Linked DNA regions of Caenorhabditis elegans. The protein of the gene in region 2 interacts with the protein of the main gene of each other region in a biochemical or structural test. Each region holds a gene or a part of one and is shown on either strand. Other genes may lie near its edges.

Region 1 (6,188 bases), 4.0 Mb from region 2:
ACCTAATTTGTAAGATGAACTATTGTGCATTGATCAGCGTGAATATCATAGTTTTGCAATGATCTCCAGAAATTGCTCCAAATTTACGAGAGCTTCTAGCCTCATACGCGTTTTACAGTTCTCCAAATTATAAAAAAATGGGCGTTTGTCGCAATGTACTCTTACTATTCGTGCGTATTATTGAGTTGTTAGATGTACAGTTTTGAAATGTTCAACAAATTGAAACATTTTATATAATATATGATATTTGAAATTTCCTATTAGTGTTTTTTTTTTGCTTCAATATTTATTTCTGGTTTTGTTTTATTTATCTCAATTTTACAAGAGTTGATGAGTGTTCCCAAATAAATCAAATTATTATTACTCCCACTTGTTGTATGACTGCAAGACTGCAAGCCTAGTCATGATATCATATCCCAGCATCTTTGTGTTTTACCCACCTTCACGTGGCCATAAAATATTTGTCACTCTCTAATTTATTTCCAGTATTATTCTCAATGTGTCCACTGATTGAATAGTTAAAATAGTTAGTTATCACCCACAAATCAAACGACTTTTTTGTGTCCGTTTATGTTTTTAGGTCTGAAAGAGTTGATGAAGTTTCTGCATGACTGGTCGCAGTCAACGTCACCTAAAATCTTGATTAAATTTTTTACGCTGTGCGTGATTTTTAAATTCTTTACATGAGTGCGTTCCAAATCTTTCCGCCTACTCATGAGGTGCCCTTTCTAACACAAGCACTCCGAGATACCAAATAAACTGCCATGTCTTGTGACGTGTCAATCTCAATGGGTTGAAACTGAGCTGCGTGGGGTACCTAAATTTTGGATTAAAATAGCAAATCGTAAGGTTCATGCATTGAAAATGACAAGTTCATGGAAGCTCTCTGCCTATGAGAGAGAATATCAACCGTTATTTTTCAGTTTTCACGGAATAGAATTAAAAGACTTCTCCGGGAATAGCATAGTCGCTGCGAAAATAAATACAAGTTATGTGTTGTTCGATCGTTCCAGGCGTGTAACGCTGAAGACTTAATAATAATTGTAAGGCATCCTACATTCCCTCATAAAAATACATGTCATCTTTGCTCAAAGACGCGGATAAGTGTCTAAGCACATCTCATCAATTCTATTGTCTAGTGTCCTGAGAGGGTGTTTTAAAATTTAGACGGGCACGTTTGTCACCACTTCCCTATCCTTCTTCCATAATCGTCATTGTTTTGTTTATAAGAAGTTCTGAATTTCTGAGCTCAAAAAAAGTTATTTTTTAAAGAAACAGAACTATTGAACTCAAAGTGTGAAACCGTAATAGAAGACAGGGAGGTGCTAGCTGTAACCAAAATTCGAAAATAAATTATTTTTGAAACCTCTGTTCTAACCAACTTTTCAATTTTCTGTAGAACTCAAGGCTACCAAAGCCAAAAAAAATTAGTAAACGAAAAAACATTTCAAATAACATCTATACTGCCACCACTTTCTAAAAACCAAATTGGGATGATCGTAAGTTTTGAAGATTAGATATGTGTATGGAGATTTAAACAAAAATAAGTTTTTAAGTATTTTTGACACATGCAATAGTAATACAAAATGAAATGATTGTTCAATTGTGTTGATTCCTTGGCATAAAATTTCAAACCACATTCAAACATTGACATGTCATTTGATTGACTAGATTGCAGTATTTAGTTAATATTTCGATTAAAAAAAAGAACGCACACAATTTTTGGAAACATATTTAGGTGAGACGTCTAATTAAGTCCATATTTTATAATGAATTGTTTACGTGTTTCTTATTGTTTTTTTAAGATCATGGATTATGGATACTTGTTATTCAAAAATTTTGAAACATAATAATTTAACGCAACGTTTTTCATTTGAGAAGGCGTCGAAATGGAAAACACAAAGAATATCAGTTCGCACAACAGTTCGAAAAAAATAGGAGGACAAATAAATGAGTGAAAGGGTATATTTCAGGTGGGGACTTTTTAAGAAACACTATGCAGTTAGACAACGTAGGAGCAGTGATTCGACACGAGTTGATTGTTCCTAATTAGCCGAATCGGATGAATTTGGCTCCACGTTTAACGTAGAGCTCGTTGACCGATGGTGAGGCGTATCCATCTTCCTGAAAATTCAATAAATGATGATGGCATAATGGTTAGTATACATGAGAAGTTGACGTTTCGGATGCGTCATTACTCATATCCATGTGTTGGCATATGACATAGTGCTTTTTAGCGTGATATTTTCATATATGTATTCCGTTTGTAAAGATAGTGGGGGAGCGGGGTTTTTAATATTTCAGAAAGCTAATAGCTTGTAATGCAGTGTGTACTCAGTCACGTCGATCTTTCATGAAATTCTGACGTTTTTCTTGTGACTTAAAAGTATTCCGTCTTCGCTGGAAATGACAGGCATCGTTTATCCTTTATTAGTCTCATCATATACTTATTAGTCGAAATTTGTAAATGTTCATATACGACTAGAACAATTTTTTTAAGGTGCTCCCCAGCATTACAAAAAAATCTCTAGACTCAGCAAATATCAAAACAGATAAAAATCAAGATTTTCAGAATATAATTTGCATACGTAATAAGGGGGTCGAATAGGATTTTCTACAATGGTAGCAGCTTAAGCTATGTGTACAACAAACACAAGGAAACAAGCTTTTCAGAACCTTGGTTTTCGACTTATGCAGTGATTCACTGAAAAAATTATTTTCTTGAAATACTAACCCAAGTGTTCCTTGATCGCCCAAATCTGATAAACTTGGCTCCTGCACGACCGAATCGGATGAATTTTGGCTTTGGTGCTCGTGCTATTCTTTGGTATTTTTCAAGGTAGTCCGCGTCTTCGGCACTGAAAATATTCGGTGTTATTAGATTGAAAAGTCCATATTTGTGAACAAAGAGACCGTTGTTTTATTTTTTTAAAATGTCATAGAACCTTTCCTGTCTTTTTTCTTACGTATTTCACACGTCAATATTGAAAATGTGTCTATTTTAATTACCACCATTTATCATATTTTTAATATTGTGTTTCGGTTCACCACGACCTACATTTCTGCATATAATTGTTCAAAAATAATTGAAAAATGAAAAGATAAGAAGGTTACCACATTTTCCTTTTTGTCGCTTAACCAACTACTTTACTTTTCCAAACTCAATGAGCACATGCGTCATGTTAGCACGCCAAGTGCAAAATTAAACGCTTCATTTACCAATTGTATTGAACGACTAGAGCAAAAAAGTGGTGGCAACTTTTTGAAGGAGACATGTTTTGTGAGTGCTCTGATCCCTCCAGTGACTTTCTAAGAATGAAACAGGGAAGTTTCAAAGTTGCCTGATATTAAAGAAGCGGGATAAATCGAGAACGGAATGCTAATTTGTGTTACATTGAAGGTCAAAGAAGCTAATTTTATGAATTCCACCCTCGCTTTTCTATTAGGTTAGAGACTAGTCCTCAACTATTTTATTGTTTGACATACTTTTGTTTTTGTTTTCAATGCTTGGAATTCAATGTTCTGAATGGGAAATTCCAAGCTTTAAAACAAAACAAACAGTTTAAAAATCTGAGTATTTCGAAAAGTAATTTCAAAAAGATATTGTCATTGAACACTTCCATTCTTTGTTTATAACGTCATCTCTATTTTTTCCTTGCTGAAGACTCTGGCCTCCCAACAAAGTTGTTCCAATTTTTTAAACAATAGTATGGAAAGAATGGGTCAAAGTGCATCTCACCGGAAGCATCGAATGCAAAGCGAATAAGCAAAAAGCGCGCCTCCTAGTACTCGCAATTGAATTTGAATGGCTGATTGATATTTCCGCTTCATCCGACACCAAGAGTCCAACAGACAAGATGGGATCCCCCAAAAAGAATAAACTCACGTCACATTACGATGCTCATGAGAATGAAAAAAAGGGAGGAGACCGGGGTATAAGTTCGTAGGAAGCGCACAAGATGCTAGTAGTAAAGTGAAATGCCGAAGAAAACGAACAGAATCTAGTATGTGTGTTAATCACGCCATTGCATCTTTGTATAATTAGAAAATTACGAAAATGATGATGAAATAAAGTGCATGATGAAAAATGCGTCACTTTTGAGCAATTAGCTGTACAACGATGATTTAATTTGGATATTGAAACTATTTCTGTATTAGTATTTAGTTTTTCTGAAAAAGATAATTTGCTTGTACCTACGACTTTAATAGGTTCCGTTGTTGTTTCAATCTAGACCTTCACGCACCGTTAGAGTTTTGGTTTTTTGTGTTTTTTTTTCTGTCTGAGTTGGTAATTTATGTCAGCCTTTTTTAAAATCCTTTTAATAATTTTACTTTAAGTCCTAGCGCCTTTTCTTTTTAGGAAGTCCATGATAGTCTCAATAGCCGAAGCAATGATCACAATCAAGAACAAATGGCCAGTTTTGATCAGTTGGGGTTTAACAATTGGCTCATCACAGCACCTGAACCCTAGACATCAAATTAACCTACCTTGATTGAGCGGAAACACATTGGAAGACAAGAAGGGTGGCGATGAAGAGGAAAGCAATCGTGGTGCTTCGGCTGCTCATAGTTGCGAGGAATGACTGTTTCGTAAAAGGCGGGTGCTGTCGTGGAAGCTGAAAGGCGGGGACGCTGCGCATGGCTTGCCAACTGGCTCCGCCCCATCTCTACTATTATGTGGAGCGGTTGGGAGCTGAACTAGAGATGATGGGAAATAAGGAGTAAATTGAAACTGTAGTTGTTATTTTTGGGAAGAGACTTTATCTAAAAGAGTTGTTATTATAGTAGGAAGAGAAGATAATTGGAGAAATGAAGATATCAACATGTCTACTACAACAGAAAATAGCAATATGCTTTTGATAACTTGCGTCAAAGTTGCATGACATAATTTGATGAATTAGCTCGTCTATATTGGCGATCAAAAATATAAAAAGAATCCTCCAGCAGATTTCTGAATTCTCTGCGCAATTCGTCACACGACCCAAAAGCTTTTTTAGGTACTTTTAGGTACTTCCTTCCAGACTTCAACTTTAACAAGCTCTTTTTGCAAAACGGAATGCCCTCTATGTTTCCCATTTAACCCCGTGGAGATTGAAAAGTAAACGATCTAGTAAGCCTCTGGGGGAATAGAAGGGGTACCGGAAAACTAACGACTTAACCCAGAGTTTGATAATAGAAATGGAGTCAGAAGCCGAAAAGCTGATTGAAAACAAATAATAGAGTAGGATTATTTGTTTTCGAACCAGGGTCACTATCAATTGGGAGAAAAATAATAATACGAAAATCAGAACAAAAAATTAATCAGAAACCTTTCAAATTTCAAATAGACTTCTAGTGATTGTTTTAGTACGTCATAGAGCATCAACTTTGGTTTTTAGAAAACTTGCAAATCGATGTAACGCTATTCCCAAAAAACACTCCGACGATCAACTATAAATTTTGTTTATGTACCAATTCATAATTTCCACGAACCGATAAAAGTGCTCATGTACCGGTTTTACTTCAAAATGAGAGTTTTGTATTGTGTTCACTTGCCGAATTCTCATTTCCGTTTTCCATAATATACACAAGAAACAATATCAATTGCAAGATTCATTTCAGATCCACCCGTTTCAAGCCCACATTGCTTCTTTTTTCTTAGATACCACAAAAAAAAACAACTAAACTAAAGTTAAAAAACTGAACTATTCTGTTTCTAGGCGGCGCGTTCTCCGTAGTAAATGGGAGATTCTCCGAAAACTGCAAAATGTCAGTGTTGAATGACCGATTTGACATGTCGGAGGAGGAAACGGCGGGGCCTGACATGACGTGTCCGTTTTGGCCCACAAAAAAGTTTTAATTAAAACTGGAAGCTACGGGAATGAAAAAGTCTACGGGCGAGCAAACAAACCGTAAAGCCTAGAATTTTCAGCATATTGAATTTTTACGCGAACTTTGTATTTGAACTTTTGCTCGATGACTTTCTTTACGACATGTGTGAATTTTAAGATCATGTTTCATTTTCTTAAAGAAGTTTGTTTTCAAAAAGGTTTATTCAATACTAAAACACAACAGAACCAATTTTTGTTACCCTCTTTCAGTCTTGATTAAGAGTACTAAAATAATGCAGAAGTGTACCAATTGGCCATATCATCTGTACTTTTTGTGTTCAATATTACTTTCCAAGAGTTGTTTTATTGTGTTCACGA
Region 2 (7,254 bases):
AGAAAAAAAAAGAATACTGCCTATACTATGACTTCTCTTGTATTTACTTTTACGTTTATTGAACACAAACTTAGTTCCACAGACAATAAACTACCAGATTGCAGGCTGATGTCTGAAATTGATTCTTGTACATCCCTATGGACCATTCTTTCAGACAGTTACTGATTCACCGATTGTGTCTGTCTACTCCTAGTAGTCATACTCACCTTCTAGTTTCAGATACTCTAAATGAACCCCCATGAAATTTTGTGCACAGACTACGAATAGATATCTTGAAAAATTCAAAGTCAGAGTTCAATCGTTTTATTTTGAAAAACCTGCTTCTGTTTACCATGGACTTCCTCAACACTTTTTGACGCCCCATGGCATTGAATTGATACAATTGTTTTTGCCGGCTCTTACGTCTGTTTATTTGTCTATTCAAGTCTCTGGCCATGTGCTATCTGAGAAAATTCTAGGAAAAAAACATGAATGCTAAAATAAAATATGTTCCGTTTATTTTTTCGAAGTTGTGGATCCGTTTATTTTTCATTCCATTTTATTCCATTTCGTTATTGCAACTATTTCACTGATTCATTTTTGCACCAAATTTATTTTCGGGTATTTATTTTATTTTTTGATGGTTTTTCATCCTTTTTGCTTTTTTCTCTATGCATAGCTTTTTTGATTTGACTAATAAACCTTAAGAGATCTACTTTGTCGTCTTTCGAGCTTTTTCTCTGAGTTAATGTGCATAAAATTATTTTTCATTGCCCCTCGGAGTTTTTGAGAGCTTTTATCGTATTACGAGACAGGACAACTCCCTCGTTGTGCCGCTTTTATTGTTTTTCTCATGTTAATAGCTATAGATTCGCTTTGCAGATTCACGATCATTCAAAACCTCAGACGACGTCACTCAACTAGTTAAGTATACCGTAGAGGTACCGTAGTCCAACTTGATTTTGATGAACGGCGGATCAAAGAAAAGAACAACTTCAAAAGTACATGTATACATACTTCAGCTACTGACGCTTGAACTACTCGAAAATTGTAGCTTATCGGTGAAAATGCAGGCTAGAAATAGGCATTTCAAAATTGCAATGTATACCGCCTATTTTCTGTGAATGGCCTTTGAAACCAAAGTTCAAAAATTTGAAAAATCAATTTTAAACCCAACTTTGAAAATTATGAGTTCTTGGTTTTTTCTGGAAACGTTTAGCAAAAAGAAAATTTAAATAAATGCACAATGTTTTTTTCGTTTTGCAGAAGACACATGAACTTCAAAAAAATTAAAAATTAATGTATCCTCTAAGGCAAGTAAGTTGACTCTAAAGTAAGTGAGGCACAAAGCACGCAAATTTTGATGAATTTATGGGAATTTGTGTTACCAAACGTAACCCGCAGTGTAACTTAGCCGAAATTTTTTTGCCGGAACACTTTCAGTTTTTGCAAAAAAATCAATCTCAAGTTACGATTGGAAAGTTTTTTAAACGAACAATTTTTGAAATTTTCGATGAGCTTTTTATCAAATCACAGCTGAAACAAAGCGGACTTTGTGAAGATTCATGTTTTTATTTATTAATGTAATACATACGAAAAAAAAAACAAAATTATAAATATCTGTGCAACAAGCCCACAAACTTTTCACTGACTTTGTTGTTTTTATGGATAATTCCAGTGTTTCTTACTAATTTATAAACGCTGATAAATAGTTATGTATTTTGAAAGCAGTCTCTGAAAAAAAACACGATATTAAATCAAAAAAATTTTACAAAAAAGCAAAAAGATTTGATATACATAACATTGTAACAGAATTTACGGCCTTTCCAACAAAACAAGTTTCTGTTGTCTTATAAAAATTATTCCAAAGATCTGGGAAAGTTCATTCAATATCCCCAGCGCTCATTACCATTTTCTTACGCATCGCACTTGGTCTCCGAACCTTCATTGCATTCACCTGAATCTTAGATAGCAAATGACGAAATCAGCCCAATCCTCCAATCATCCAATCGCAGACTTGAATAATCAACGCAACATTTGCACATCCTTAGAGGTCATCCCCGCATGACTCTATCATCCTTTTCTCCGAACCTTTTTTCCTCCGCTCTCCGCCCTCCATTCTTCTTTTTCCTGGCTTCAATCCCTTTTTTTACAACCAAATGGACCCTCTAAGACAATTGAGCAACGCCTGCGGAAGAAGGGCAAGCCAATCTGCAGTCGGTTGGTCCTTTTTTATTATTTACCTTACACTTGTTTCCGTTTTAATTGTTGCGATCTTTGTACAAGAAGAAAATCATGTTGGTTTTTGATGAAGTGAGTTCGGAGTTCGAATTGTTCTTTCAACTCCAAAAATCGAAGCACTTTTGTTTTATATTTTCGGTTTCACAGTATAACAAAAATTTGTTTGTAGAGTCATGTTTAGATTAGTATATAAAAATGTTAAATTCCACAAATTTGATTGAAAAACAAAAGTAGTGATTATTGTTTGTGTATTTCTCGAAACTTATTTTTCCAATTGTAAGGAAATATGAAATCAACTAATTCTATGGATAACATATAATTTAGTTTTAATTTGAAAAATAAAATAATGTTGTAGAACTTTAATGTAGTACACATTGAAAAAAAATAGGTTTGGCGGTAAAGCTTTCTAGTTCACCCATCTTCAAGTAATGCAAAATTGAAGTTTTCTTACCTGTTCTAGTTGGTTTTGAAATTCTCCTTAAACAAATTAAAGATAATTTTATTCAATTAAAAAATATTTTCCAGTATTTGACTTTTCACCAAAGTTAAAACAACTTGAAAAAAAGTTCAAGGTGTTTTCACATGTTCTAGTCTAGACTAGTTTCTTCAAAAGTGAAAAGACTTACAAAGGCAAAAATCCTTTGTCATTGTAATCCTCCGCCATAAAATTTTGTTTGTTTTTTTCTAAGAATCTGAAAATTAACTTTTCCGCCTGTCTTGCTCCATTTTTCTCATTCCAACTCGATTAGTTTATTGCATTAGTGCAGAATGTACAAACGTTTCTGAAAACAAACGCTTTTGGTGCCAGATGTTGAGGATAATATTAATCTTTTCTCACAATTTCTTCTTGTCCATTCTTTCTTTGAATTTATCTAAATACAATTTGTTTCAGCCCAGCTTGCCTTGGCACCAGGCTCTCATTTAATCACGGTAAGCCTCTCGGTCACTGTAAACTATATAACCAATCGTTTGATTTTCAGATATCAACACAAAGTTTACGGAGAATTGCAACTGAAAAGTTGTTAGGTGAAGACACATATACAGAACAATGTTACTGGAAATTGGCACAATAACAATCGGGAATATAACCCGAGCAAGAAAGTTTGGAGAAAGGTAAGTTCCTGAAAATGGAAAATGGGTCCCCCTCCGCATTTCAAATGAGGTGTCTATTAGTTTCTGGGAAAGTTGAAAGAGAAACCCTCCCACAACTCAAGTGTTAAAGTTCTAAGCCCAAATTCAGACACTTGTGAATATTAGATTATTGCCTATTTTGACGAGCTATGGTAAAAAAAACAACACTAATTTCGAGTGAAAACTCCAAAATTGTGGTGCACTTGTCACACCATCACTCATTCTCTGACAAATCTCGATTGTGTTTTTGAGCCAACCAGCTCTTATTCGTCGCCGTCAAAACTTTCTTAAATTGAAATCACATCTCGAAACCTTCTTCCGTTTTGCATAAAATTGAATTTAGTTCAACAAGTTTAAAATGCCACCCCTTTTCTAGAAAACAAATGATGACGTTTTCCACGTTTCTCAGTTGAGAACGAGTCATGCGACTTTCAATTGGTGAAGTTCTTTTTTTTTTCTTCTGAATTGGTGTTTTTCCATTACCAAAAAAAAAAGGGTTTTTGATCTTTAGATCAACATTCTCAATTTTTCGGTGCCAATCAAGATTCTTGGTGCATTGCGTTAGACAATACTGAATTGCAGCTAATCATGTAAAACAAGAAACAAATCATTGGCAAAATTGAGAAATTGTACCCAGTAAAACTAAAAAATATGGATCAAAGGGTGGTGTGAGTTTGTTGGGTGTTTTTCGCAGATCAATGGCAATTCGTTTGTGATTTTGAAAAAAATCGCTACAATTGTGAACATTGCTCTTTTTGACTTTTTGCTAACGATTTTACAATAGCTCAAATGTTGAACTTTTACTTTTCAAGATTCTTATAGTAAGACTTTTCTTGAACGATTTAATCTAGATTTTTTGGATCCAAAAACAGTATTCCTCTTACTCGTTGTACTTTTTGGCACTTCATTCTCCTACGGACCAACCACTTCATCTTTGCAACTTTTCGCTGACCTAAGATAATCAAATTCCTTAGAAGGAAGGAAAACTTTGAAACTTTCTCCCGCTCTCTCGAGTTTTTTATACCACCCACCTATAGTTCCTCTCTGTCTCTCTCTCCGTACTCATTTCATTAATGACGTTTTAAAATAGAGCCGCTAAAGAATTGATCTTATATATTAGGAGAGAAACGCATAGTGTTCGATCTTTGATGCTCAAAGCTCAAAATGTTAAAAATGCCAGCATGGTGTTATTATAATGTATCTGAAATACAAAATTAGAAGGTATCTGCAGAAATGCTGACGTGAAATGTGGGAAGGGGAAAGAGGAAAAAAGTTTTTACGATTGGTTGTGAGTAGGCGGAAAGATATGTTGTACAGCCAGTGGGGACATGATTAAAACCGTTTAATATTGCAAAAATGATAAAATATTATGATAAACTTTTCAAAAGCTATTGAAATTTTTTTTTACTCCGAGTCAAGATTTCAAAAATTTCATTTTGATATTTGGTAATTTTAGCACCACTATTGTAATGGTTTTCAATTATTTTTCACCTACCGTACTACAGCTTTAAGATTGTCACAGCACTCCGCTTTTTCTTTTGTTTCCTTTGAACCTGCTGAAGAACATGATTTTTTTTCCAAAATCTTTAATAATTTGCAATATTACCGTATACATATTTCCTGGTTGTTACGGACCTCAAAAATAATTTTCAGTTTATATAATTGTGATGTGCTTTTGTTTTGAAAACACCACATTGTCTAGCCCATTTGCTTTTTTTAAATGAATTTTTTATGAATTATGAAAACTACTTCCACTTAAAAAATCAGTGGTTCTGGGAAAATAACCATTTATTTCATTCCGTCTTCTTGTTTTTTTGACCGCGATGAACAAATACAAAATGAGAACATTAAAAGAAAACCAAAGTCACGAGACAACGTAGGCACCCAATTGTCTCGTAATTTATGAAAACACCAGTCACCAACCTAGAAGTACACCTTTTAGCCGGTCCCGATGAGGAAAACAATGAACAAAGGTTGAAGTTTTGCTATATGCATGTTTGACGCAGTCTGGCTTGTCCGGAACAAGATGTGCAATAGATTCGAGCTTTTGCGAATATTTTGGAAGAAATAGTAAATGGCCCGATATATCTAGATGAGACTTGGACGGAGGAGTAAAGTGGAAATTCGTTTACTTCATTCTATTTTGTGCTTAAAGAAGATATTTATCTGAGAAGCGTTGGGAAATGCATTTAACGGAAAAAGCCTTTCACATTCAAATTTTAATTTTCGATTCCTTGGCCAAGTTCATGTTGCGCTGCGATAGGCTTAGTATAATATTTTCGGAAGTTATTTGCATGTTCAGCAGATTGCGTCACAAATGCCATTTGTCCGATCAATTGAGCTTATTTTTATGTTACTATTTGGGAGGGTTGAGTAAGAAAATGCTAACTAACATCGTTTTTTGTCTTTTGAGATTTGAGAAATTTCTTATTTGCTTTCTCATCATTCTTTGTATTCTCAAAAATGAATGTGAACCTTGGAAAACGCTTGTAAGTTTTTTTTGATTCTTGAAGAGTTGAAACTGGGCAATTTTTCAAATTTATAGTAACTCGCAATGTTTTGAGAAATTTTCAATTTTCGGTTCTTTTTGAATATTACACATTCTACGTATTAGTTTCAATTTTCAAAATTGTTTAAAACGTTCATAATACACATTTCTCCCTAGAAAGAATGTTTAATTATTTTGTAAAGGTTCTCCCCAATTGATCACAAAAACATGTTGCGCATTCTGCTCAACTTGAATGCTTGTATCAATTATGAATGATGGTTTAATTTGAGTATTCACGCGCAAAAAACGTGAATCATGTTTTGCAATTTCTCACGTATGTAATATGTATTACCCCATCCCACCCAATATATACAGCCTCCGGAAACACATCCTCTTTTCTCATAAGCTTATCGTAGTTTTTTCTCATCACATTGGGACATGTTGTTTTCTTTTCTGATTTTATATTTGGTTTATAGTCTCAGGTTGCGTAAAAATTTGATGAGTGACTTATGTACTTCGAAAAAGAACCTGGAAGCTAAATATGTACATTTTAAGTTCTTCTTAGCCTACAGGTTTTGACGAGAATGCTCGCTCATTATCGCTTTTTTTCAATATTTAATCAGTTTGAAACAGCAGAATTTTGATCGCTAAAAATTATAAGCTTATCGAACAAAAACAGATAATCTGAGAGGATATTAGAGGATATATTTAAAATTGAGAATCGTGTAAAACTTCCTATCGGCAAAAATATATTAGTTGTTAGAATCTAACTTAGAAACTCAAACGCCTTTAGCGGAGATTGATAGCGTCAAATGAAATCTCAGCAGATGTCCAGCGAAACAGTTTGTTTACTCTTGTTTTTCAACATACAGTTTTGTGGCGTTTAGTTTTCCTGTTATTTTCGAATATCATCGCAATCCCAGACACAATCCGTACGTATTTGAAGCTCCTGAATACGGTAGAGATACTACAGAGTTCTCAAAATTTGAATGATCTCCCTTTCCTTCCTAAAATATTCCGTCGCATTTTTTCTTCGAAATTTATTTCTTCTCATAATATTTTTGAACTTTAAAATAGATTTAATTCTATATTCTTGAAATTATTTGATATCACTTTTTCAGACAATTCGGAAGCCTTTCAATTTTTTTGAAAACAAATTATAAACAAAGTTGTACATAATTGGATGTATGGCATTTATCGCTCGAATTAGAATACAAAAGAGGTGCAAACCAGGAACTAGAGATTCGGATTCTGAATTAGTGAAAATAAAGTCATTATCTTTATTCCTTTTTTCTTCAACATTCCTTCTTTCCTTCAACTACAAAACTTAAGTATTATATAAGTATTATAAGTTGTATAAGTATTATAAGAAGTATTATAAGTAAGTATACAAAACTTACAAACTGCTTGGGCCG

What was found. Proteins that work in one complex are often made in the same cells at the same time.
Region 1: of the proteins of npr-4 (region 2) and flp-5, one has a biochemical effect on the other in vitro, tested with the Caenorhabditis elegans proteins (one study listed by BioGRID).

The regions. Positions count from the first base shown.
Region 1 is NC_003284.9:8,526,702-8,532,889, reverse strand, and holds flp-5 (GAKFIRF-amide), read right to left. Parts: upstream 4,570-6,188; 5' UTR 4,569-4,569; coding exon 4,489-4,568; intron 2,859-4,488; coding exon 2,735-2,858; intron 2,125-2,734; coding exon 2,050-2,124; 3' UTR 1,857-2,049; downstream 1-1,856. UniProt on the Caenorhabditis elegans protein: FMRFamides and FMRFamide-like peptides are neuropeptides. GAKFIRF-amide has an excitatory effect on dissected pharyngeal myogenic muscle system.
Region 2 is NC_003284.9:12,547,536-12,554,789, reverse strand, and holds the start of npr-4 (G-protein coupled receptors family 1 profile domain-containing protein), read left to right. Parts: upstream 1-3,112; 5' UTR 3,113-3,150; intron 3,151-3,200; 5' UTR 3,201-3,268; coding exon 3,269-3,333; intron 3,334-7,254.